4 linked regions of the Arabidopsis thaliana genome follow. The gene in region 2 interacts genetically with the main gene of each other region. Each region holds a gene or a part of one and is shown on either strand. Other genes may lie near its edges. The genes, in order: HUA1, HUA2, FPA and FRI.

The links.
Region 1: of HUA2 (region 2) and HUA1, changing one enhances a phenotype caused by changing the other (phenotypic enhancement), as found in Arabidopsis thaliana (one study listed by BioGRID).
Region 3: of HUA2 (region 2) and FPA, changing one suppresses a phenotype caused by changing the other (phenotypic suppression), as found in Arabidopsis thaliana (one study listed by BioGRID).
Region 4: of HUA2 (region 2) and FRI, changing one suppresses a phenotype caused by changing the other (phenotypic suppression), as found in Arabidopsis thaliana (one study listed by BioGRID).

What each region holds. Positions count from the first base shown.
Region 1 is NC_003074.8:4,024,574-4,030,881, forward strand, and holds HUA1 (floral homeotic protein (HUA1)), read right to left. Parts: upstream 4,568-6,308; 5' UTR 4,427-4,567; coding exon 4,036-4,426; intron 3,272-4,035; coding exon 3,024-3,271; intron 2,630-3,023; coding exon 2,573-2,629; intron 2,481-2,572; coding exon 2,409-2,480; intron 2,253-2,408; coding exon 2,196-2,252; intron 2,094-2,195; coding exon 1,896-2,093; intron 1,716-1,895; coding exon 1,678-1,715; intron 1,581-1,677; coding exon 1,534-1,580; intron 1,434-1,533; coding exon 1,315-1,433; intron 1,229-1,314; coding exon 1,175-1,228; intron 1,080-1,174; coding exon 939-1,079; intron 856-938; coding exon 703-855; 3' UTR 503-702; downstream 1-502. Other genes in the region: AT3G12685 (Acid phosphatase/vanadium-dependent haloperoxidase-related protein), read right to left, coding at 4,672-4,911, 5,037-5,103, 5,186-5,223, 5,313-5,447, 5,527-5,688; AGC1.5 (AGC kinase 1.5), read right to left, coding at 6,023-6,308. UniProt on the Arabidopsis thaliana protein: Involved in flower development. Functions in floral reproductive organ identity by binding AGAMOUS (AG) pre-mRNA and promoting its processing. Functions in association with HUA2 and HEN4.
Region 2 is NC_003076.8:7,784,200-7,791,864, forward strand, and holds the start of HUA2 (Tudor/PWWP/MBT domain-containing protein), read left to right. Parts: upstream 1-1,635; 5' UTR 1,636-1,973; coding exon 1,974-2,084; intron 2,085-2,492; coding exon 2,493-2,569; intron 2,570-2,792; coding exon 2,793-4,520; intron 4,521-4,592; coding exon 4,593-5,109; intron 5,110-5,339; coding exon 5,340-5,448; intron 5,449-5,659; coding exon 5,660-5,772; intron 5,773-5,851; coding exon 5,852-6,039; intron 6,040-6,170; coding exon 6,171-6,852; intron 6,853-6,954; coding exon 6,955-7,441; coding exon of another isoform or gene 7,442-7,449; exon of another isoform or gene 7,450-7,617; coding exon 7,618-7,665. Other genes in the region: NCLPP7 (nuclear-encoded CLP protease P7), read left to right, coding at 209-627. UniProt on the Arabidopsis thaliana protein: Transcription factor that functions as a repressor of flowering by enhancing the expression of several genes that delay flowering including FLC, FLM/MAF1, MAF2 and SVP.
Region 3 is NC_003071.7:18,025,255-18,032,989, reverse strand, and holds the start of FPA (RNA binding protein), read left to right. Parts: upstream 1-1,734; 5' UTR 1,735-2,000; coding exon 2,001-2,270; exon of another isoform or gene 2,271-3,421; intron 3,422-3,641; coding exon 3,642-3,884; intron 3,885-4,085; coding exon 4,086-4,142; intron 4,143-4,228; coding exon 4,229-5,061; intron 5,062-5,290; coding exon 5,291-6,593; 3' UTR 6,594-6,631; exon of another isoform or gene 6,632-7,429; 3' UTR 7,430-7,735. Other genes in the region: AT2G43420 (3-beta hydroxysteroid dehydrogenase/isomerase family protein), read left to right, coding at 1-40, 129-231, 600-774, 930-1,086, 1,167-1,233, 1,346-1,497. UniProt on the Arabidopsis thaliana protein: Plays a role in the regulation of flowering time in the autonomous flowering pathway by decreasing FLOWERING LOCUS C mRNA levels. Required for RNA-mediated chromatin silencing of a range of loci in the genome.
Region 4 is NC_003075.7:267,027-272,010, reverse strand, and holds FRI (FRIGIDA-like protein), read right to left. Parts: upstream 3,111-4,984; 5' UTR 2,986-3,110; coding exon 2,047-2,985; intron 1,654-2,046; coding exon 1,648-1,653; 3' UTR 1,481-1,647; intron 1,392-1,480; 3' UTR 525-1,391; downstream 1-524. Other genes in the region: AT4G00651 (Fe superoxide dismutase), read left to right, coding at 132-181, 287-524; KEA2 (K+ efflux antiporter 2), read left to right, coding at 4,222-4,984.

The sequences.
Region 1 (6,308 bases), on a different chromosome or scaffold from region 2:
AGAGTATTTTGGATTATAGAAGTATTATAGGGAAGTGTGCTCATATTTTTAAAAGATCCAATCAAAAAGGCATCAAACTTTTTGAGTCCTCCTTTGCTACTTTCATCATTTGTCGTTATACCATTAATAGAGGCCTTCCACATGTTTCATCAAAACTTAAAATCAGAGACACGGAGACAACTAGTCCATGTTTTCTTCCTTTGCCTCTGTTTCTCATGTCATGTCCTCTTCTTCGACTCTTAAGAACAAAACATTGGACCCACTTTTGATTTAGCAGTTAGCACCGACATGTGTCTTGCTGAAGAAGCATGTTTCATGCACTGGCTCTCTGTCGTCACTCTGTCACATCTTGTTGTTACGTGTTGTTTCATCTTATTGTGGAGATTAGTTGGAGTTTACTGACAATTGCTATAAACAAAATCACAATGGAAACGATATTTATCCAAGAGAACCGAATCAACGGCAGATAAATGCTCAATTGGATCATTGAGGAGAGAAGAGTGGTGATGAACAATTTTGCTTTTATGAGCTCAACTGAGTAAAAGAAGACTCACTCAACGATATCTTTTTTGTTTTAGGATGATAAAGAGAAGTAGAGAACTCACGAGCGATAAGCATTTCGAAACGAAACAGATGCAGTACATAGGAAGTAAACTAGGATTACAACAAGATATCATCTTATGTTACACAAAGCTGGGAAACTCATTGAGTAGTGTCGGTGTTGGTTGCTCCAGCAGCATCGGCTTCTGAAGTGGTCTTAGCCATCACCTCACCTGGAGGAGGATGGTCAAACTTGCATGTTGCCCCGTATTTGCAAGTTCCTGTCTTCATGTAATAAGGGCAATTAAGCGCACCCTGCAACAGTTTTTGTTTTGTCTATGAGATTACCACACAAACTCACAACATGCAGGCTTCTAATAATACCACTTTATAGGTACCTCTCTTCTGGGATACCCTGCAAGACTCAGCTTTACATTTGGTTGTTGAGGAGCTTGTTTGGTCATTGCACTTAACCTATCTGCTGGGTGATGGAATTTGCATCTCTCTCCAAACTTGCACTCCCCTGTCTTCATGTAGTACTGTAATATTGAAAGACAGAGCTTTTGGTATAAAATTTCAACTAACATGTGGGAGAAAAAGCTCAGCAATCTCTAAAAGAAACAAGGATACTAACGTCACATTCTGATTGTCCAGGTCTTTGGGGATAAGTTGCTGAAATCACTCCAAGCTGAAACAATTTCCACTCTAATTAAACCCCTATCAACTAAAGAAGCGCTCTTGAATATTTCTCACAACATGAATAAAGGCTTTTACCGTGGGTTGAGTAAGAGTCTGATAGAAAGAGGTAGCTGGTGTAACCAGCCCAAGGTTCAAATTCGCAGTGTTCGATGAAACTAGAGAATAGTTTACCCCAGCAGCTTGGGGAATGAATGCTGTGCACAGAATCAAAACATCGCACATTATGAGAATTTAGGGATAAAAGTAATACGTTAAAGGTTCTAAAAACCACAAAATTTTGGCATGATCACAAACCAGTCCTCTCAGGATGATTGTAGCGACAAGTGGCTCCATACTTGCAGCTGATTATGGAAAAGGAAAACAAGTTAGAACGTTAATGTCACGTTCTTTGTTTCAATGTTCTAAACAACAAAATAGTATTATACAAGAGATATTCACCTTCCCGTTTTGAGATAGAATGGGCAGTCCACTTCACCCTGAAAAAGCTACAATCTAATTAGTGAAACTTCATTCTCAGACGTCAGAACAGGTCAGCATACAATGCTAGCAAACCATAATCAGTTCTAAGTATAGTGCCAATAAGATAGTAGAAAGTCACAAATTGTGCCTATATGATTATAAGTCAGTCTTATGCAAAGTGAAGATGAATTCATTACCGATCTAACAGGTAGTCCTTTTGAGTTGTGATACAATGCTGGGGTAAATGTGACATGCGGATTGTTTGTGGCATCAGGCTCACTGGTTAACCCCACACTGCTACCAATATCTTGACTCGATGATGGTAGCTGGATATCCTTTGGATGGTGGAATTTGCATGACAAACCAAATTTACATTTTCCAGTCTTCATGTAGAACTGATGCAGAGTAGAAATGCCAAATTAATAATCGATATTAGTTTCATATGTAAGAGCATTTATAAAAATAGGATAGGTCAATCAATTATGTTTATATCTTACTGTGCACATAGGTTCAGAAGGCCTCTCAGGCAATGAATCTTGAGTTTCAACACTAACCTGAAATAAAGAAGAGCATCAAGCTTCTAGGTGCATGCACAGCCCAAGAAAAAACTAAAGCAGTACATATTACAAGCACAAGATTTTATGCGAGTGTCTGCAGGCAAATACACAACCCGAGGGATAATTTTATTTGGAAAAGGAAAATTCACTTACTGCAGCCTCTTCTCTTGGATGATTAAATTTGCACTTTGAACCATATTTGCAGCGTTGTGTTTTTATATAGTACTGGATAACAGTGAAAATAAAAGAAAGATAGTCTCAGGTCTTCAGGCGAAACAGAAATAAAATAGCTCGAAAAGTTTTCACGAACAGCTTACAGGACAATCTGGTTCTCCTGGTCTCTCAGGATACTCTTCATTTGGAACAACTGGTGCCTGAATGAAAAGATATTCATAAGCAAAAACAATCATATCATTTTATCATGTAATGCCTAGACAATGAGTATGATGTCTCTTCCAAGTCAAGGAATGATCTGACAAAGGGAAAAGCAAGGATAACAAACACGGTTGCAGAAGTCGGGAAGCTCAAATCTTGAATAACAATAAGATACCATTTGTCATACCTATACCTACACTATCATGATAATGTAGTAATTCTATAACCTCGTATACCAAACAAAAACAATATATATAGTTACAAAGTAATTAGGCACAAACTCCCACAGTATAAAACATATAAGTACATAACAGAATATAGAAAAACGTTATCATAATAATGTAAAAATCATATGAGGGCATAAGAAATACTTAGATAGTAGTAAACGATCACCTCTTTCCAATCTGGGATTCCGCCCTCAGGAACCCAAATAGGATGATCAAACCTGCAGCTTTCTCCAAATTTACATGTTCTTGTTTGCATATAGTGGGTACAATCTTTCTCTCCTGCCCTCTGTGGATATATAGGCAAATGGCTTGTACTCTCCAACTTAGGGCGCTTGGTAAAATAGTCTGTAGTATACCAAGCTTCGGTTTGACCAATTGTATTATGGGCACCCAACAGAGTCGGATAGTAGAGCGCTAAATTACATAATAAACAATAATATACAACGAAATGAGAAGATATATACTGACTATAAGTATAATTTGAAAATAAATTTGGGAGATACTATAGCAAAAACCAAGATATAGCATCAATAATCAATTGTATCTTTAGTTAAACTTACAGTAAGAAATTCTGGCTTACATACAATCATGTCTGAAAATCTATTGGAAACCATAGAGTTACAACAAAACATAAATCATCAATCAATTCTGCAAAATCACCAAGTGTTCCAATAAACATTAAGGTCAAAACTAAAAACAATTATCGTTAGGCAATCCTAAAGCAACAAAGACTTAATCAAGAACACTACCATAAGCTATATAGTTTATAGATGCAATCCCTAAGCATCTCCTGAAAGATGATTCTAACTGTCAAGCTTCGCGTTGTCCAGACTCAAAACAAAGCAATTGGCCAAACCAATCCAACCTCTATTTCAGCTAACGAGAAAGCACAGAGGAATACAAACCAACATCATTGTGCTTGAGCAAATGTAAATTAAAATCTATCCTAGAAAGAATCAGGCTAGAGACCATGACTAAAGCTGAGTTTTTTATGCTGCAATTGAAGAAACAAACCATCAAAAACACTAATTTCCGCTACAGAACTAGAGTATCACGATGAGCAGAGAAAAGGGAAAGCTGAAGTCTTTAACTTTTCAAGTTATGCGGCATAGTTCTCCAAGCAATAAATAAGAAAATGATGCAGATCCCATAAATAGTAAGGTAAACAAAGAGCCTACCTTCAGAGGTGCGTTTGACACCAGGAGGAAGTGGCTCGACGGCGGAAGCAGCACCGGGAACCTCCACACCAGGTGGCCAAGCAACTTCCTGATGCTGAAGCAGCTGAGGATACGCCAAATGCGATGCCGTCGTGTTAGGCAAATGATGGTACATAGAGGAAGACGATGCAAGAGTCCCTGAATAGTTGCTCAAAGCTTCGGATCCATCACGAGCTAAGAAACGATACGTGGTATCCGGAAAGTAATGGTCAGCAGAAGAACCGTAGAGAGAAGAAAGACCGGTTTTTGGCGGCAGTGGTTGTTGCGGCGGAGGAGGAGCTGGAGATACGGTGGAGGCAGCAGCAGCATAAGAAGGTTGAAGGGCGTAGCTATACAATTGACGATGTGCCATTCGATCGAAAAAGGAAACCCTAAAGGAAAAAGCTTTCTACTTTTTTGGTGTCAAACAAATTATCAAAATTGTTGTGTTTGTGGGGTTTACAACCAACTCAAACAGAACAAAAATTCTCAGATCCATAAAACTTGATTTGACATTACCACTGATTCTCTGTTTTATTGCAGTTTGCACATTATTAAATTCTCTTTCTTTCTTATCAACACAAAAAATATATAGTTTTTATAAAGTTGGGAGCTTTTTTACATCAGGGAATAAACACTGAGGGTAACTAAGAAACCGAACAAAGCCCCTGCTATGACTTCAACTTCAGTGTGTCCTATTGATTCTTTCAATGGAGGAGCAATCTCCTCACTGATCTCTTCTGATGTCAAAGCTTTGTTAGATTCGTTGCCCTTTAAACTCATTACTTCACTTCTACGAGCATTAGCTGTTAGTTTGTTCAACACTTTGGCATGTTTTCCAACTTCTCTCCTCACCCCCTGCAATGTTACAATCAGTGAGACATTAAGATAACACTAGAATCAGACATTGAGAATTTGAGAATAACCAACAAAGACCTATTGAACAAAAGCCAGCCTAAGCTTTTCTCTATAGACTATTTTACCTGGGCATCATACATGATAAGGCCAGCATAAACCACAGTTAGACCAAAAATGGAGTCAGCAAATCCCCTGAAGCCAAACCATATTCAGGAAATTGCATAAGCTGAGTATATTTAGGGGAATTGAGAAGAGAAAGGTTCAGGCTAATCACCTTTCAAAAGCAATAGCAGTTGCTGCAGCCACAACAGACTGGTTTCTCAAGAATTAGGCCAAAATGTCAGAGAAGTAGACAAACAATATTACCAGAGGAAACAAGAATAAAAAAAGGATAAGCTTACAGAAGAATGTGTTGAAGGGAAACCTCCAGCTTGAAAGACACTTCTAAAGTCCAGATTTTTCCCATACAAAACGACAGAAGTGAATGGCTTTGAGAGCTGCCCAATCACAGCAGAAGTCCCAGCAGCTATGAGTACCTTCACGCCGGTGAAATCAAAAGCCTAAGTGACGATGACCCTCCAAAAAAAGGAATGAAAGAAGAGAAAAAGGCGAAACCTTGTTGTGGATGACCTCAGCGATATCTTGGAATCCAACATTGACAACGCAGGTGAGACGAGGTGGCTTCTTTGGGCAGCTTGCAAGATTGAATTTGGAGTTGGAGAAAGAGAAACAGAGATCATTGGCGTTATGAGACACAAAACAGTGCTTCATCAACATCTCTGTGCAGAAGATGGAACTTTGGTCGGAGGATGACGATAAGAATAAGGCAGCGAGAAATTTGGAACCAATGGTTCTGACGCTCTGTTATGTCGAGAAGAGTGTTGTCTCTTAGGACATTTTAATTGACTCAGAGAAGCTTTTGTGGATTTTTTCATTGACAAATTGTTATCTCACACACAAAATCTGCTTTAACTCTTTTAGTAAAACTCTTTTAGTCTCTTAAACCAAGTCATCTGTTCTTCTTTTATAAATCACAATTTGTATTCGCCAAAATTAAAGAATATGAACAAAAACAAACATATCGAAACTTTCAGCTTGTGGAGTTTTAAGTCTAAAAGTACTCGAAATCTATATACGCCGTATCATCCGTGGGACCAGCAGCACAGGCGACCAGAGGCTCCGGCTTCATTGAGTTACAGTGATCACCACCTCCATGGCTCTTGGTCTTACCTCTAGCGGCCGCGTACGGTCCCAAGTCCACGGGGTCTGGAATGTGAGGTGGGGCAGCACTACGAACTAGAGCCCAATTCACTCCTTCAAAGAAAGGGTGTTGCTTTATCTCTGTGGCCCCCCTCGTGTAAGCGATCCTTCTGTGTGGATCCTTCACTAGTAGTCCG
Region 2 (7,665 bases):
ACTGCTTTGTCAATTACTTGATATAGTTGAAACTTTGATACTGTTCGTTGATACTTGTTCTTCTGTGGATTTGTAACTTGATTCCTGCTACTAGTTTTAATGTCCACAGTCTCAAGAGTGTCTGGTTTGTGACGAGTTAACACTTTCTGAGTCTCAAATTGTTTGTTGTGAGTCTGTGACGCATCTTTAATCTTTGTCTTTGATACAGGTCTTGCAATTTATGATACTATGCAGTACATTCGTTCTCCTATTAGCACAATTTGTTTGGGTCAGGCTGCATCAATGGCTTCTCTTCTGTTGGCAGCGGGTGCCAAGGGGCAAAGGCGGTCACTTCCAAATGCAACTGTTATGATTCATCAGCCTTCAGGAGGATATAGTGGACAGGCTAAAGATATAACGATTCATACAAAACAGATTGTTCGTGTGTGGGATGCGTTAAATGAATTGTATGTCAAACACACGGGTCAACCTCTTGACGTGGTTGCGAATAACATGGATAGGGATCATTTCATGACTCCTGAAGAGGCTAAGGCGTTTGGAATAATCGATGAAGTGATTGATGAAAGACCGTTGGAGTTGGTGAAAGATGCAGTTGGAAATGAAAGCAAAGATAAGAGTTCAAGTTAGGAAGTAACTGGTAATCAAAGTAATAAATTTTCTTCTTTTCCTCTTACCAGTTTTGCTTTGATCCTGTTAGATTACTTTTTTCTATGGATGAAGTTATGCTCTGAGGGCATGATCTCTCAAACTGTTTTTATTCATTCATAAATCAATCATGACTATATTTCTGAAATCTTTTCCTCGCATGTTTAGTGTTTACAGTCTCATATCTGATTCAGTAAAATGAATATTGGATTAACGCTTGGCTTTGGGTCTTAATTTTATGTGCAGTTTGATGCATTGCAAATCTTTGATTTATGCATCATTTTATACTAACTAGAAAGTCTAAAATGATGAGATTATTGTCTAGTTTCAGAAACCCCAGTTCTAGTTGGTTAGTTTATGTTAGAAGATGGGGTTTGCTGTTTCCTTATGCTCTTGATCGATGTTCTTCGGTTTCATGTTTTTGCTTACCTCATCAAGTCAAAGCCACATCTATTCTGATTTGCCTCTTTTTATATAGAAGAAGTTAGAACACATCATATTCTTGTGTTAACACTGGTCTTTGATTATGCTCTTTGAATTAGGGACAGAATCTTAAGATCTTTATGAAAATTCTTGTACGGTGTTGTCTTGTCGTGTTGAGCTGAGCCTTCAATTGCTAGTGTTTGCTTCTGTTACTCTGAATTATATTTGGACAATCTCACTCTAATAAAAGTTTTTTAAATACTAGCAGAATTGTTAATTTATCCTATGGTTTACATGTTTATATGATTTTGTTGGTTCTATAATGTGTAAAAATGGAAAACATGATTTTTTTTTCCTTTTTTTTAAAAGTATAAATGGAAACGTGTAGGAAAGTGTAAACAAGAAAAGAGGACATAAATGACCCAATGACTTAATAATATATTTGGTTGAGACTTAGGAGTAGTGAGATTAAACTACAAAATAAGGTAAATTGGAAAATAAGGAAAAACCTTTTTCGATTTCGATCTCTCCTTGGTGAAAAAGGAAATTGAAAGGGGAAAAAACGCCGACAACAGTAAACCAAACTTCTCACAAAAACTCCTTGGAAAGTTTTCACCTTCTTTCAGCCCTAACCCCATCGTCTCTCTCTCGCGACCGCCTCATCTCTCTCTGTCTGGATCAATCTCGCTCTCTCTTTCTCTCGGCTACGTCGCTGTTTCTCGTTTCGTGATCCGTAGCTGTCTCCGCTACTACCTTAATCAGCGAGCTTCTTCCGGTGGAATAATCTTCGGATAGGAGGAATCGGAGAATTCTTCTAATTGGGTGTCTGGGTTGGATTGGAATACGTAATTCTGTTGGGTGTTCCAATTTCGCGTTCAAAATTAGGGTTTATAGAGGTCTCGCCTATGGCTCCTGGGCGTAAAAGAGGAGCGAGCAAGGCCAAAGCCAAAGGGCAGTTGGTTCTCGGTGATCTGGTTCTCGCCAAAGTCAAAGGCTTCCCTGCTTGGCCTGCCAAGGTGCGTTATCATTATGATTCCTCTATTGGGTTTTAATTTTTCTTACACAGATTCTTGTTTTTTTTGCTTCTTCTCTAATTGAATTCTCATATAGTCCTTAAGTCCATAGTCATCATCTTTAACTTGTTGGGTCTTCTGTTTTTATCGTTACGAATTCTAGAATACACATTAACTTCGTCGAATTGAGCTCTAGTGTGTTCTGTTTCTTTTTGTTGAGATACTAGGCTTCATGATTAAGTTGGTTTGAAAGTCAGTTAACTCATCTATCTAGTTACTCGGTCAGATTCCATGGTTGAATTATGAAACACACATGTTATTCATCTCGATAAATAATGAGCTTCCGAATCTCTCTAATACAATTCTCTTTAGTTAGTCTCTCTTGTGAAGTAATTTGGTTTTGAGTTTCAGATCAGCCGGCCTGAAGATTGGGATCGTGCGCCAGACCCAAAGAAGTACTTTGTTCAGTTCTTTGGAACAGAGGAAATGTAAGCTATTCTCTTTTATTCTTTGATTCTGGTACCTTCTCATCCAGAAAGGTATATGAACTTTAGTCAGTATATCATGTTGCTAGGAATTAAGTAGTAGACCTCGGTTATCAGGTGTTTCAACATGTTACCAAGTGTTTTTCTTTTTGGCTGACAATATCTTTGGAGTTGATTTTGTCTTTTACAAACTGATCATTGACAAAGTTATCTTCCTTTACTGCAGAGCTTTTGTTGCGCCACCTGATATCCAAGCCTTCACTAGTGAGGCAAAGAGCAAACTATTAGCAAGATGTCAAGGTAAAACTGTCAAGTACTTTGCACAAGCTGTAGAGCAAATCTGCACTGCATTTGAAGGGTTGCAGAATCACAAGTCAAATGCTTTGGGCGATGAGGATTCTCTGGATGCTACTGAACCTGGTTTGACAAAGGCTGAGATAGTGGATGGAACAGATCATATTGTCATTGAGTCTGAGAGAACTGATAACTTTAATTTTAGGGTGGATCCTTGCTTCCCCAAATTAGATGAGAATAATGGTGAGGAGAGAAAGGCTGAGATAAGGAAGCTAGATTCATCTTCATTTCTGGAATCAAAGGTCAAAACCACATCCCCTGTTAGCGAGTCACTGGAGCATAGTTCATTTGACCCTAAAATAAAGAAAGAAGATTTTGATAAAGGAACTGACGGTAGTGCTTGCAATGAACATTTTGGTAATGGCCAAAAGAAGCTGGCTAACGGTAAGAGAATTAAGAAGGAAGCAGGTGGCTCTGATAGAAAAGGTGAAGATACAGTTCATCGAGACAAAAGCAATAACTCACATGTGCCTGGTGGTCGAACTGCCAGTGGTAACTCTGATTCCAAAAAATCGAAAGGTCTGTTGACAGAGAAAACCAGCTCCAAAGTGTCTGCTGATAAGCATGAAAATTCACCTGGCATCAAGGTTGGGGTTTCCGGAAAGAAAAGGAGGCTTGAAAGTGAACAAGGTAAGCTTGCACCAAGAGTAGATGAAAGCTCACGTGCTGCTAAAAAGCCGCGATGTGAAAGTGCAGACAATAAAGTAAAGTGTGAAATTGATGATGGATCTGATTCTACTGGGACTGTATCAGATATTAAGCGTGAAATTGTTTTAGGATTAGGTGCTCGCGGTGGAAATTTTCAATATGATAAAGAAGCAGTTGCATATACAAAGCGCCAGAGACAGACAATGGAGCATGCTACCTCTCCTTCTTTTTCTGGGTCTCGTGATAAATCTGGGAAAGGTCATCTGGAACAGAAAGACCGTTCCTCTCCTGTTCGTAATGTTAAGGCTCCAGCTGCACAGTCGCTGAAAAAACGGAGGGCTGTTTGTATCTACGACGAAGATGATGATGAAGATCCAAAAACCCCATTACATGGAAAACCAGCCATTGTTCCCCAAGCAGCATCTGTTTTGACTGATGGTCCTAAAAGGGCTAATGTGTGTCACAGTACTTCTACAAAAGCTAAGATATCTGCTGGATCTACAGAGAGTACTGAAGTAAGAAAGTTCCCTCTGCGTAAACATTGTGAGGATGCATCACGTGTATTACCAAGCAATGCGGAGAATTCTACTAATAGCTTACCTGTGGTAAAACCCATTAATGAATTGCCGCCAAAGGATGTCAAACAGATCTTGCAATCTCCGAAGATGTCCCCTCAGCTGGTTTTAACTAACAAGCACGTTGCAGGACAGCATAAAGTTGTAAAATCATCGGTGAAAGTTTCTGGTGTTGTGATGGCAAAGAAGCCTCAAAGTGATTCTTGTAAGGAGGCGGTTGCGGGATCTGACAAAATAAGCTCTTCTCAGTCTCAGCCAGCAAATCAGAGACACAAATCAGCTTCAGTTGGAGAGAGGCTAACAGTGGTTTCAAAAGCTGCATCACGTTTGAATGACTCTGGTTCAAGAGACATGTCTGAGGACTTGTCTGCTGCTATGTATGTCACATTCTATCTGTCATCTTTTTGTGTGTATGTCGCCTACTGCTTATAATTATTCTTTTCTTGCAGGCTTGACCTCAATAGAGAAAAGGGGAGTGCTACATTTACCAGTGCAAAGACCCCAGATTCGGCTGCATCTATGAAGGATCTAATTGCTGCTGCGCAGGCAAAAAGAAAACTTGCACATACACAAAATTCAATTTTTGGGAATTTGAACCCTAGTTTCTTGAGCATCAGTGATACACAGGGGAGGAGCCATAGCCCATTTATGGTTCAGAATGCTTCAGCTTCTGCTGCCATCTCAATGCCGTTAGTTGTTCAAGGTCATCATCAACAAGGTTCTTCTCCGTCAAATCATGGGCATCAGTCCTTATCAAGAAATCAGATTGAGACTGATGATAATGAAGAGAGAAGACTTAGTTCAGGGCATAAGTCAGTTGGAGGTTCACTTAGTTGTAGCACTGAGGCTGCTATTTCTCGGGATGCTTTTGAAGGCATGTTAGAGACCTTATCAAGAACCAGGGAAAGTATTGGACGTGCAACTCGCCTAGCAATTGATTGTGCCAAGTATGGGCTTGCTAGTGAGGTAAGATGGTTGGTTGGTTTTTCATTATGTTTTTTCTTAAGGCTTCGACAAACTTATTGTTAGGCTGCACATATCAAATCAATTTAGAATTGCACTTATTCTGGCTTTACTTCTTGGATGTTTAGCTTGCTACGTAAATTGCTTTCTCAAAATTATTTACAGCATTTGGTGCGTAATATTGTTCAGACAATAGTTGCTTTAATTGGAAATTTGTTTGTGTTTTTATCTAGGTGGTGGAACTTCTCATACGAAAGTTGGAAAGTGAATCTCACTTCCATCGTAAAGTGGACTTGTTCTTTCTCGTCGACTCTATCACCCAGCATTCGCACAGCCAAAAAGGTGAGCTTTCCTCTTGGATAGATGCAATACCTGTTCTCAAATTTTCACTTCCTTCCCTGAAATGCTAATAATACCGTATTTATTAGCATTTCAGGGAAGTAAAAAATTCACAAGCATTGTTGTATTGTTTTTTACTGTATACAAAGAGAACACCTAATATATTTATTATCATTAAAGATTAAATAATTTCCAGTGCTTGTGAATTTTGTAGGTATTGCTGGTGCTTCTTACGTTCCTACTGTGCAAGCTGCTTTGCCACGTCTTTTAGGTGCCGCTGCTCCTCCAGGGACTGGTGCTAGTGATAACCGTCGTAAATGTCTGAAGGTATTTAAACTATTTGCTTGTTTCTATGTTATCCTTACAGTTTTGTAGGCTGGAGTCAGTGACCTCTTTGTTTTTTTAGGTCCTGAAGTTGTGGCTTGAAAGGAAAGTTTTCCCTGAATCTCTTCTGCGTCGTTATATTGATGATATTAGAGCTTCTGGTGATGATGCAACTGGTGGGTTTTCCCTGCGACGTCCTTCTAGATCTGAGCGTGCTGTAGATGATCCTATCAGGGAAATGGAAGGGATGCTTGTTGATGAGTATGGCAGGTATGCTAAACGATTGTCTTGCTTAGTAGTGTACTCTCCGGATTATATATGTTGCTGATGAAAAAATAACAGGCAAGGTCTGTTGCCATTCTGTAGAGGGTTTATTAACTTGTTTGTCGTTTTTTCTGCAGCAATGCAACGTTTCAGCTGCCAGGGTTTTTTTCATCTCATAATTTTGAAGATGATGAAGAAGATGACGATCTTCCAACATCACAAAAAGAAAAAAGCACATCTGCGGGGGAACGTGTCAGTGCTTTAGACGACCTGGAAATACATGATACCTCGAGTGATAAATGCCATCGAGTTTTGGAGGATGTCGATCATGAACTTGAAATGGAAGATGTATCAGGCCAGCGGAAAGATGTAGCACCTTCCTCTTTCTGTGAGAATAAGACAAAGGAGCAATCACTGGATGTTATGGAACCTGTTGCAGAAAAATCAACCGAGTTCAATCCTCTTCCAGAGGATTCTCCTCCGCTACCTCAGGAATCACCTCCCCCTCTCCCTCCTCTACCACCTTCTCCCCCACCTCCATCCCCTCCTCTCCCGCCATCATCTCTGCCACCACCGCCTCCCGCAGCGCTGTTCCCACCTCTTCCACCACCTCCGTCTCAGCCTCCTCCACCACCACTTTCACCTCCACCTTCACCGCCGCCTCCACCTCCACCGCCTTCACAATCATTAACAACTCAACTCTCCATAGCTAGCCATCATCAGATACCATTTCAACCAGGATTTCCTCCCCCAACATATCCTTTATCGCATCAAACATACCCAGGATCTATGCAGCAAGACCGCTCTAGTATTTTCACCGTGAGTTCTTTGATTTGTTATGTTTCATTTTACTCATGATTCCTCACTATACATATGCATCTTTTATCATTTTTGTTTAAACCCCCTGGACATCATGTGCAGGGTGATCAAATTGTCCAGGGGCCTGGAAATTCTTCACGTGGAGGTCTTGTTGAGGGCGCTGGAAAACCCGAATATTTTGTGCAGCAGTCCTCCAGTTTTTCACCAGCAGGAGTGTGCAGCTCCAGGGAGCCTTCATCATTTACTTCCTCCAGACAACTAGAATTTGGGAACAGCGATGTACTTTTCAATCCTGAAGCTTCTTCACAGAACCATCGGTTTCAGCCGAGCACCCCTCTGTCCCAAAGACCTATGGTTAGGTTGCCTTCAGCACCGTCCAGTCATTTTTCGTATCCAAGCCATATTCAATCACAATCTCAGCATTCCTACACTCATCCTTACCCTTTCCCACCTCAACGTGATGATGCACGGCGATACAGAAATGAGGAACCATGGCGGATTCCTTCAAGTGGACATAGTGCAGAAAATCAGAATGGTGCCTGGATACATGGAAGAAATTCACATCCAGGCCTTCCTAGAGTCACAGACAGTATGTAGATGCTTAAATCCTAATAGACCCTTTACCTGTTAAGGTTTATTAACTTGCATGATTGCTTGTGGAGTTGTAATCATTGTGATACTTCTGTTGACTATGATTGTCTAGCTTGTATGTTAATGCCATGGCTTAGTTCCTTGAAATTGATGGTCTTATTTGCAATTCTACAGGTTTCTTTCGGCCACCTCCAGAACGTCCACCTTCAGGGACAATGAACT
Region 3 (7,735 bases), on a different chromosome or scaffold from region 2:
TAAGAAGCATCTTGGTTACACACCTGTTGTGACACTTGAAGTGAGTTTGTTGGATAGTATTTTGGCTTTTTGCATATTCAGCTGCTTAGTACCTTCCTTGGATTTATTAGCTCTTGTTGGATTTGTAGGATGGTATTGCATCAACGCTTCAATGGTTCTCTCGGGATCTTGAGAAGTCTGATGACACAATCATTCAATCTACTGCAGATCAGCTTCTTGGTTGTGGGAAAGGTTAGAACCATCTCGCTATTAACAATTATAATGCCTTTTTGAAGTGTTCTTGGCTAAGTATTCAGTTGTATTGCTTGAAGTCCGCATCTCATCTAGCTATGGATATGATGATGCATGTTCACAAGGCTTAACCTGGAAAGAATCTATCTCTATTTTCAACTTAGATTTGTTTGCTTCTAGATGTCTAGAACATGCTGAAGTATCTGCTTGGTTAATTTACATCTTCTTCCAGTCCATGTAATTTCATGCGAGTTCCAACTTTATTTCATGCACATATAAACAAACTCAAAGCGAATCTGGTCAATGCAAGCTTTTAATATTAATCTCTTTAAACTGACTTAGCTTTTCATCTCTATGTTCTCATGCAGTTGCAGACATCTTGCTGTGGAGAAATGAGAAGAAAACCTTCGTTTCTTTTCTTGTCCTAAACTTGTTTTATTACTGGTTCTTCTTTTCTGGAAACACATTTACTTCATCTGCAGCCCAACTTCTGTTTATATTTGCTGTTGCTCTCTATGGAGTCTCTTTTGTGCCGTCAAAGATGTAAGTATTGGTTCCAGAACTTTACCATTATAGAAGGCAGTGAAAATAAGTTGTGATACCAAAATTGTCCTATCAAAGGATGATGCACCCATGTATATATATTTCACCTTTGAAATCTATATGCAACTAAGTGACAGATTGATTTATTTTGACAGTTTCGGGTTTCAAGTCAACAAAATACCCCCATGGAGATTTGAGATCTCCGAATCCGCTGTGAGAGATCTTAGTAGTGATATCGTAGTTGTCTGGAATCAAGGAGTTCGCAGTTTTAAATCCTTAAGCAGTGGAGGAGACTGGATCAAGTTCTTCAAGGTACAATTCTACTCTTTATGCTCACCAAACATGAAAAATATCTCATTGCTCTCGTTTCCTAAAACAAAACATAAAAACAGATTGCAGGATCACTGTATCTCCTCAAACTGATTGTATCCCGTTCATTGGCAGCATTTCTTTTCACAGGTACTCGAACAAAGCTTTTGTTTTCACACTTCATAAACATGATTAACAACTTCATAAACATGATTAACAACTTCTTTATCCATAACATTTTCTCTACGCTTTGCTTGGACAGTTATGTCGTTCTCATTCACCGGTTTCTTCATCTACGAGCAATACGAGCTTGAGCTCTACCACCTAGCCCGGATATTCGTCGAATGCTTAACATTTATTAAAAGGATGGTGATACCTGTTTCTGATGCTTCATCTAAACCAATGTTCATGTGAAGCTTCCAAAGTCCTCCACTAAACGAACACCAACAATCCCAGAGACTAATTGCAGTTATTAGATGTCTTATGTACAAACATTATGCTATCAGGATGTAATCTTCACTGAGAGGGGATGGATATATGATTATTTACGAATTTGCCATAACTACTATCAAAATGCACCGTTTTGATCCGGTTTCCAAAAAAAAAAGAAAAAAAAGGAAAGTATCCTTATATATCCTTTAAAAGCCGCCGCTTCGATATTCCCTGGCCTCTCTTTCTCTCACAATCTAATCTTCTTCGTCTTCAAACTCAATCTAGGGTTCTCTTCTCCTCTCTGTAGGTAGGATTTTGAACACCCAAATCTCTCATCGAATTTTTCTTGCTCAACGTATCATCGCACAATTCGTCTCTCGTTTTCCGTCACGTGGATAATCGAAATCTCATAATCCCAAAGGTAAAACAATCAATTCTGGGATTGGAATTTTGGATCCATAGGATCGTCAATTGAAACAATCCCGATGGCGTTATCTATGAAGCCATTCAGAGCCGATGATTCCGGTTTCCAGTCAAACAATCTTTGGGTCGGTAGCCTAACGCCGGAGACGACAGAGTCAGATCTGACCGAGTTGTTTGGAAGATACGGCGATATTGATAGAATCACGGTGTATTCTTCACGAGGCTTTGCGTTTATATACTACAGACATGTGGAGGAAGCAGTCGCAGCCAAAGAGGCTCTTCAAGGAGCAAATTTGAATGGAAGTCAAATTAAGATCGAATACGCACGACCGGTTTGTTCTTATCTATATCTTCGTTTGTTCTCTAACTTTGATTGTCTTTTGTCAACGATTATACTCTTTTTGCGAATTCATAGTCCAGGTTCACAAAACTTTGATGATGCTTGTTTAGTCCAAAAATTTCTTGTTGAATCTGTTTTTTTTTTCCTCATCGTACAAATCAAAGTCGAAACCTAGTTTTTTTCTATTATACGTCGTTAGCTTAAGGCGAAACCTGATCCGATCGAAACGTCTTTTCTCAAATTACTTTGGTTATATCGAACTCGCGCAAAGCCAAACCACAGAGAAGCTCTGCAAAATTTGATGTTAAAGCATATATAACTCTTAGCGAATGAGCTCTGCAAAAGAATACATCAAACACATGTTTACTCTCGTTTATGCGAAGAAGGTTTAATCCGATTGTCGTTTATCTGCAAACTTGTATCCGCGTTTAGCAGTCTGATTTCAGGTTCGCTTCAGATGTTAAATCTCACAAGCTTGAGTATGAATGTATTGCGTACTCCACTCGAAATTCGCAATGGTGAAAATTTGGAAGCGAGCAAACTCTATCATCGGCCAAACAGATAAGAAATTTTGGAGTTTAAAAGTTCAGTTTCCTGCAAAAATCAAACCGCGTGGAGAAATTTGTCTATGGCGGTACGTAGATATCAATAACTGCATCTGCGAAACAGAAAATTCTGGCAACCGTATCGTCCTAACTCCTAGTATCGCTGGCACATATCCATATCAGTGTGAGGGAGTTTTGGGCTTGTTTTGGCTCGATGCTTCAGGAAGACAAATTACGTGGTTGTTAAGGCGGCTAACTCTACCAATCAGAAACGCTTTATTCGAAGAACCATGTTTGTTCCTCAATTCCCATCCCTACGTACAATCTGGGCTTTCCCATTGTAGTTCCTTAGGAAGTTGACTTCTTCACAACCATTCTGGGATTGGTACAGTTGCAGTGGACAAGACAAATATTCATTTGCAGGCAGACTCAAATTTCAATGTCTTGCCGGCTTTGAGTACTTAAATGGAGTGTTCAGGGATTGGTTTATTTGGGACTCAGGCAATGGATAAAGACAGGAATGTTTTGCAGAAAGTATTAATGTCTTTCCGGCTTTGGGGACTACATACTTCTCCTACAGACAAAATCTGATGTTTAGGCAAGAGAAACTATTAACACTGATTTAATAGAGAAAGAGGAGATGGTTTCTCCTTGCGGCAATTTTATTTGTTTAGGAAAGCAATTGATATGAATTGGTGTCGTAGTGTAGTTGAAATTACTAGTTAGTTTGTGTGTTTAGTTTCCTTGATGTTTGATGCTTTATTCTTGGCAACCTATCTGGGTAGTATCGCCTTCTTATCGACCTTTTCTTGTTGCAGGCAAAACCTTGTAAGAGTCTATGGGTGGGTGGAATCGGCCCTAATGTCTCCAAGGATGACCTGGAGGAAGAGTTCAGCAAGTTTGGGAAAATCGAGGATTTTAGGTTTCTCAGAGAACGCAAGACAGCTTTCATTGATTATTATGAGATGGATGATGCTTTACAGGCTAAGAGCATGAATGGAAAGCCTATGGGTGGTAGCTTTTTGCGTGTTGATTTTCTCCGGTCACAAGCGCCAAAAAAAGTAAGCACTCTTGTGGCATTTGATTTTTACTTTTGAAAACGCTCCAGTAAACATTTTGTTTAGTTTCATAATTTGCGTCAAACTGATAGGGCTGAGCTCTGTCTTGTGCCCCTAGGAGCAGTATTTACTCGTCTCTATTTCATTGTAGAGTAGGCTCAACTTCTTAAGTCTGAAATCAAGTTACCTTTGTGTTATCTTCAGGAACAATGGGCTGGCTCTTACGATAACAGAAATGGCAATATGAATCATAAACCGCAGGTTAGTCTTGAATGTTGAAAGTATGTCTCTTGTTACTAGTGATATGTATAGGTTACTGGTTTTGACGTTTTGTTATATTCTTACAGTATCCTCACTCATATGAAGACTTTAAAGGAGATGTCCAGCCAAGTAAGGTTCTGTGGATTGGGTTCCCTCCTACTGCTACACAATGCAATGATGAGCAAATTCTGCACAATGCGATGATACTCTTTGGTGAGATCGAGAGGGTAAAAAGTTACCCATCAAGGAATTTTGCACTTGTGGAGTTTAGGAGCGCGGAGGAAGCTCGCCAATGCAAGGAAGGCCTACAGGGGAGGTTATTCAATAATCCTAGAATCAAAATTATGTACTCAAACGATGAGTTGCCTCCTGAGCAAGACGATACTAGTTTTTACTCTGGTATGAAACGGTCAAGGACAGATATGTTCAATAATGATCCTTCATTTGTATCTTCTCCTCATTCTACTGGAATTCCTGGGTCTATGAGGCCCCTCAGAGGTACAAATGAGCGTTCATATAATGGTGCAGAATACAATGACGTTGTTGGTAAGGAGCCAAACTGGAGGAGGCCATCTGCAAATGGAACTGGAATACTCCCATCTCCAACAGGACCTGGAATCCTCCCATCTCCTGCACAAGGTACGAGGCGCCCTATGAGGTCAAACCCCGATTCTTGGGAAGGATATGATCCTGCTCAGTTGGTCAGAGAAAGTAAACGAACCAGAAGAGATGGATCAGTGGACGGTTTTACTCCAATGGGTGTCGATGAGAGGTCATTTGGTCGAGGTTCAGTTGCTGCTAGACCTATCCGTGGCCCCCCTGATTCTGATCACATATGGAGAGGAATGATTGCCAAGGGTGGAACTCCCGTCTGTTGTGCTCGTTGTGTACCTATGGGAAAGGGGATTGAAACTAAACTGTGAGTACTAATTTCTAGCACTTTAACCCTTCTAGTGTTTTCTTTTTCAGAGCGATTTATATATTTTCCATTTCATTCTCGATGGAAGTAACATTATTATAGATAGTACATTTTTATTTTACTATTACTTGTTTAGTTTCTGAGATGTCTTGATTTTCATGGTGTTGATTCATTTTTGGCATTGCCCTCAATTACTGACTTTGTTTTTTTTTTAATAATTGATTTATAGGCCTGAGGTCGTCAATTGTTCAGCAAGAACTGATTTGAATATGCTCGCTAAACATTACGCCGTTGCCATTGGATGTGAGATCGTTTTTTTCGTACCAGACAGGGAAGAAGATTTTGCGTCTTACACTGAATTTCTCCGGTACCTTAGCTCAAAAGATCGGGCGGGTGTTGCCAAATTAGATGATGGTACAACTTTATTCTTGGTGCCTCCATCAGATTTCTTAACTGATGTACTCCAAGTGACCCGTCAAGAACGGCTATATGGTGTTGTTCTCAAGTTACCCCCGCCAGCCGTTCCTGTTACAGCATCATACAGACAAGAATCTCAGTCCAATCCTCTGCATTATATGGATCAAGCCCGGGATTCACCTGCCAATGCTAGTCACAGTTTATATCCTCCTAGGGAAAATTACATTAGGGGTGCACCAGAACATTTGACAGCTGCTTCAAAACCATCTGTTAGCGAGCCTCTCAGAATACCTAATAATGCAGCGCCTCAAGCTGGGGTTAGTTTAACTCCGGAGCTTTTAGCCACTCTGGCATCTATTCTCCCTGCAACTTCTCAACCTGCTGCCCCTGAGAGTCACCAACCTATGTCAGGACCTTCAACAGTTGTTTCCACAGCACATCAGTCCAATGGACTGTACAATGGAGAAGCACCGTCTCAAGCTTGGAAAAGAGGTCCACAAACAGTTCATGATGCGTCAAATCAGTCATTCCAACAATACGGAAATCAGTACACTCCAGCTGGGCAACTACCTCCTCCTCCTTCGCGTTACCCTCCAGCTTCAAACAACCCCAACTACACTAGTGGAATGGTCCATGGCAACATGCAATACCAGAGCCAATCTGTTAACATGCCTCAGCTGTCTCCGTTACCAAATATGCCTCATAATAATTATTCCATGTACACTCAGGGTTCGTCAAATCATCCTGTTTCTCAGCCCATGGTCCAGCAATACCAACCAGAAGCGTCCATGCCAAACCAAAACTATGGTCCAATTCCAAGTTATCAGCAAGCTAATTTTCATGGCGTAACAACAAATCAGGCACAGAACTTAAACCCTTCCCAATTTCAAGCTGCCATGCAACCACCAGCAGATAAGGCAAATTTAGAGCCACAAAACCAAGCACTACGATTGCAGCCTATGATCTCTGGGGATGGTCAGGGTACAACAGATGGGGAGGTCGATAAGAATCAGAGATACCAGTCAACACTACAATTTGCAGCAAACCTTCTTCTCCAGATACAGCAGAAACAGCAGCAACAGTCTTCAGGTACTCCGGCTGGACAGGGGCCTTGAAACTAGCTCCACTCTCCATCATAATCATAATCTTCAAGGTAATTATCTCTTCTACCCTCTGCCTGATGACTGAGTTGAATGACCATAAGCTTTACTTACATACTTTTCTGATCCTTTCTTGTTGACATATGATAAAGCATGTGCTCGCTGTCGTTGAAACTGGAGCATTTAGTCTGCATTTTTATATAGGGTACATGAAACTTTGTGAAAATAACATAGGACTGCTTTATTGAATATATATACATTTTTTCTGTGTTGCTTGCATTTTCGTTATTGATGTCTACTTTGGTACTTCTTTCTTTGATTCTACCGTGAATCTAGTCTAGTAGTATCACACACAGATTATTATTCTTATCACATGTAAATTGTGCTTTCTCTTGGATCCCCTTTGTTTTCTTGGAGCTATGATGGAGTGTGTGTGTACGAACGGTTGCTTATTTAGCATACCTTGGATTTGTAAATTTTGGTAAATGTGATAAGAATATACTCTCTGATTAGGATTTCTAACTACTTGTATAGAAATATAACAACCGTTGCAAAACTCTCCTTTAATACCAAAGATAAGAGGCAAAGAATCTTGACTGTGATCATTAAGAGCATACAAAGATGACCTGATCGCAGAGAGCCAATTTGATAGACTTGAAAATGCCGTCAGAGCAAAACTCAGACGAACAATCTGATGATACAGATACTCTTATTGTTAACCAAACCCCATAAATTGCTAAAGAAAACACAACAGATTCAATTGTGATTTGCCTTCTTGTGAGCTTAGAGAAAAGTGAATTGAAGGAAGAGAAGCCGTATCACTAACTCATAGCTGTTTTGAAATTGTGTAGGTGATGATTTGAGAGCTAAAAATTGCCTGACCAAGAGAGAGGCTTTGTGCTATAGTAACAAGTTTACGAACTAGCCCTACAGATGCAACCAAATGCTCATCTTCGTTAGGTTTTTTCCTGCGGCGTTTAGATAAAAAAAAAAAGGCTGTATAAAAAATGAATGTCATTTAGATTTTTTCTTCTTTTCTTTTCCTAATTTAGTTGTTCTTGTTGTTCTCATAAACTAAATCTTCAGCATGATGTCAAAATTGTTGATGATACTTCAATCGAGAAACCCAAGTTTTTTTTTATAAATCATACTTCGTT
Region 4 (4,984 bases), on a different chromosome or scaffold from region 2:
TCTCTGTAGATAGTTAAAGCTGTGTCCTTTTTTTCTTCCATAAATCTCAGTGCTGTATAACTACATTGTAATGAACCCTACCCGTTCATACATTTGTTTAAGAAGTCCAGCTATGTCACTTACCACATTCCATGGAATCAATGCTTCTATTCATGTTTAAAATCCAGTTTAAAGCCTGCAAGTGTGAGTGTATCTAGTGTTCATTGATATTCCTCAAGATCAAAGACTGCTAAATCAAAGATGTCAAAAAGCTCTGTTTCTGTTTCGGATTTGATTGATTGTCAAGCTCAAGTTGGATCTTCGGTGAATTCATCTTCCTCAAGAAAGATAAGAAGGCGGACATAAATACATTCATGGAAAAGCTTGTGTCATGGGAAACTGTAAGCACAAGGTTGGAATCCGCAATTGCTCGAGCAGTGCAACGAGAACAAGAAGGAACAGAGACAGAAGATGAAGAGAATCCAGATGACCAAGAGCCAGAGGTCTATTTAGATAGTGATATCGATGTATCTGAGGTTGACTAAAACCTCTGAAGCAATAACATTAGCATCTTAAATGTCAATTACAGGAGCAAAAAAATTTGCATTCTTAAGCCCCAAACATTAAATTAAATTTTGAGACTGTTGGGAGTTAAATAAATGACTAACTTAAGCAAAAACAAAAAGCTTTGTTACAAATTTACATTCCTCCTATTTGGGGTCTAATGATGAGTTACTGCGAGGAGACCTTTGATTGGATAAACCCAAATATCTTTCTTCAGATGGTGAATGTCTGTAAACCCTTTGTATACCATATGGTAACTGTTGTTGTCCATGAATTGGAGGAGAGTACTGTAGTGGATGTCTCTGTCCGTGAACCAAAGACGGAGAGTACTGTCGATGAAGTCTATGTCCGTGACCTGGAGAATATGAATTTGGGGCCAGATGTTCATATGCATATACACTTCTTCCTAACCCACCATGTGGAAGTGGAACCATATATTCCGGGGATCTTCTTGAGCGATGAGGAAAAGATGTTGACGGGCCGAGGTAACTACTCACAAGAGCTGATATTTCATCTTGGTCATCGTCTCTTTGACTAGGAAAGCTTCTATCACGGTAGATAGGAGAATACGATGAAGAAGTTACTGGTGGCATTTCCATGGGTGATAACCTTGGACGTTTTATCTGTTGGTTATACATTCTCTTGGCAAGTGCGGCTTCCTCCATTAAACTGAGAGATCTTGCTTTCTCTTCCATCTCTTTGTCGAGCTGAAGAGTGTCTTTCTCCAAGCTAACAATTTGCTCTTTGATCTGCCATCCTGGTAGTTCTTTCGCAGGATCTAACTTGTGAGTCTCCATACACTGCATAACTGATGATAACACAGCTAGCTGCTTTGTAGCCGCTTCTTTCTGTTGAGAAATAAATATATCAATGGTCAGACTCAGATGATGATAAAGAGTTCATAAAGGTACATAATGTGCAAGGGAAGGGTTCATACAAATGCCAGCGGTGACTGGGCTTTCCGTTTTGCCCTCTCAAATGACTCCTTGCTCATCTTTAAGAATGAAGTTAGAACTAGAGCAGCTGAAAACTTATCCTCCATGCCAAAGGTATAAACCATTTCAAGAGCTTCAATATGCATTCCACGCTTGATACTTGATTCAACTATACCTATGACCAATAGAATATTGTGTAAGTACCACTTCTTAGAGTTGGCATTGCTTAAGCTTAATTAGTATCCAACAGCTAAGTCATATGATTTTAACTTCCAATATTGGAAACCACAAGAAACACTATTTCAAGGCAATAGCCTATCATTTGGTTCTGACAAGCAACAATTTCGTACCAAAACCTATGGTTGAGAGTTCCAAGTTCTTTCCAGATTAATTTCTAGCTAGGATTTGGCTCAATCAGTCATTGCACTCTAAATATTTGATGTGCTCTCCTAGTTTATACCATCAAGCTTATCGAAAAACAAAGATGGAACTTGATGTTGGTCGATGATGTCAACAAAAGGAACCACCTTTGCAATGAAATTCACCGAGTGAGAACAGAATATGGTACCTGAAACTGTGACCGCTTCAAAGCACCGGCAATCTCATTCGAACCACTCATCCTTATCAAATCCAGCAAATCTGTACTCCTAAAGTTTGAAGGAACACCAAAACAAGCAACTAGTAAAAGCAAACCCCTTGCATCCATTTTCTCAGCCGCAGCTAATCCTCCTTCAGTCATCAACCTTTTCCTCCAAGCAACAGCAGCCGTCTCCGCCTCATCTTTAATCCAACTCTCAATCTTCACCTTCCCTTTACCACGATCAGGCATTAGAAGAAAAGACTCCAGTATAAGAAGCGAAACTTGTCTCGCAGAGCTCATAGGCGACTCTTTAGTAAATGCTCTACGCCCTTGTAAGTAAAACTTGCCAATACAATCCAATACAAACTTCGCTGGCTCCTTGGCCAATTTCAAAGCTGAAGGAATCTCTTCCATTAACTTAGCTTGATCAGAGATATTCGCGTATATGTATTTACGCAGACCTTTGCTACACATCAACTCACATATACGTTCCCCCTCCGGTTTATTCGACGTCTCCGGTACAATCTCCTGAGACGGTTGGCTCACAGTGACGGTGGTTTCTACAGATACATTGTTCCGCGGAGGCGATAACATCGGCTGATGGAAATTATTGTTCCGCGCGGCGAGGACAACGCCGTTACTCTCGAGTTTGGAATCAATTGCGTTTTCGATTGACTCGATGTGCTTCTGAAGATCATCGAATTGGCGTTTGAATGTTTCCACTGCAACTGAAAACGCAGCTAATTCGTCTATGGATTTCAAAAATTGAGGCTGCTTAGATTGACCGATCGTAATGTCCATACTTGTAGACTCTGTTTCGACAATCTTCGGTAATTCTCTTCGTCGCTGTTCAGATTGATGTCGCTGCAGCAGTGGATTCGCCGTCGTTGTGGGTTGCGCCGCCACCGTCGGTGGATAATTGGACATGAGATTGCGGCGAAGAAAAAAGATTGCAGAAGCCCTAATTTCCACTCTCCTTAAATCGGTCAAATTACCAAATTTTATTGAACTGTATATTGTGAAGTTCACATAAATTATATATTAATTAGGAAGTAACCTATCTTTTAATTAGGAGAAAACGACTTTTTCCTTTGAGGTAATCGTTATATGTTTAGGGCTTTTATAGTTTTGCTTATGAAAATATGTATTTGTGTTTAATAATTTAATAAAAGTCAGATATATATACACTCTTTTGAGTCTATGCCAAATAATTGAATCTACGCACTTTTCTCTTTATTCTTTGTATTTGATTAATGAAAACATAGTTAGGTTGCATGATTACGACATGTAATATATTGTTTTAAATAGTCACTAAAGCAGTGGTTTATAACATGTCTAATCACAAATAACGGTTCTTGCTCGGTAATATGAACCCAAAAGTTACTGTCTTACTCTACCTGCACTAATGGGGGTGATGGTGTGCTCTTTTTAGTCTTCAAACACGATAATCCCATGATAAAATCCTTGTGTACTTGGTTTAAGTTGTGACTTGTGAGTACTTTTAGTTTTAGGTGGGAAAGAAATGAAAACATTGTGGGCTGACGGTACTAGGTAAGCCCAATAAGGAAAACGACTCTACGCAATCAGAGAAGGTCGCCAAGCGTACGGTCGCTCCCTCATCAACGAACAACGTCGCTCGCTTTTTTATTAATAATAGTTCACAAATATTAAAACACATTTGGAAAATGACTTGGTCACGCGCACCCAAAGGCAGTGCAAAACTAAACGAGCCACCTATCAGTAAAACGTAGCCGTTGATTCGAACCACGTGTATATTGCACGCACCACATGCGAGTACGAGTAAGAGAGTTGGTGGTATATTCACGGCATATTATATGTGCACGAATTGAATCTCTCTAAGCACGAGAGGGCATTTTCGTAACTTTCTTATAAAAAAATCCTACCACGAGTGATTGGGCAAAAAAAAACTGAAAGAGGAAAGAGAGAGTTGGACGGAAAATCTGAAGACCGCCGAGAAAAATACTGTTGAAACGGAACTCTCTTACGTTTTTTCTCAGGAGATACGTTTCATCTTCCTCTCAGTAACTACTCGATTCTCACTCACTCTCGCCGCCATTGATTCTTCATCAGCTGAAGCCTTGAAGCTCTCTTCTCTTATGATCGGTCAGTCTCTTGTTCTCTCCGTCTTTCTGCAGCAGTAATATGGATTTTGCGTCTAGCGTTCAGCGCCAGAGTATGTTTCACGGTGGTGCGGATTTTGCGAGTTACTGCTTGCCGAATCGAATGATAAGTGCGAAACTCTGTCCCAAAGGACTCGGCGGCACTAGATTTTGGGATCCGATGATTGATTCTAAAGTTCGCTCAGCTATTAGATCGAAACGAAATGTATCGTATCGTTCTTCTTTGACTTTGAATGCTGATTTCAATGGAAGATTTTACGGTCATTTGCTTCCTGCAAAACCCCAAAATGTTCCGCTGGGGTTTAGGTTACTTTGTCAAAGTAGCGATTCTGTAGGAGATTTGGTTGGGAATGACCGGAATTTGGAATTTGCTGAAGGTAGTGATGACAGGGAGGTTACGTTTTCTAAGGAAGAGAAAGACACAAGAGAGCAAGATTCTGCACCTAGTTTGGAGGAACTCAGGGATCTACTGAATAAGGCAACTAAAGAATTGGAAGTGGCTAGTCTCAACAGTACCATGTTTGAAGAAAAGGCTCAGAGGATTTCAGAGGTAGCGATAGCACTTAAGGATGAAGCAGCCAGTGCGTGGAACGATGTAAACCAAACACTTAATGTGGTTCAAGAGGCTGTTGATGAAGAGTCCGTTGCTAAAGAAGCTGTTCAGAAGGCTACTATGGCATTATCTCTGGCTGAAGCAAGGCTGCAGGTTGCACTTGAATCACTAGAAGCAGAAGGGTACAATACTTCTGAAGAGAGTGAGGTTAGAGATGGTGTTAAAGATAAAG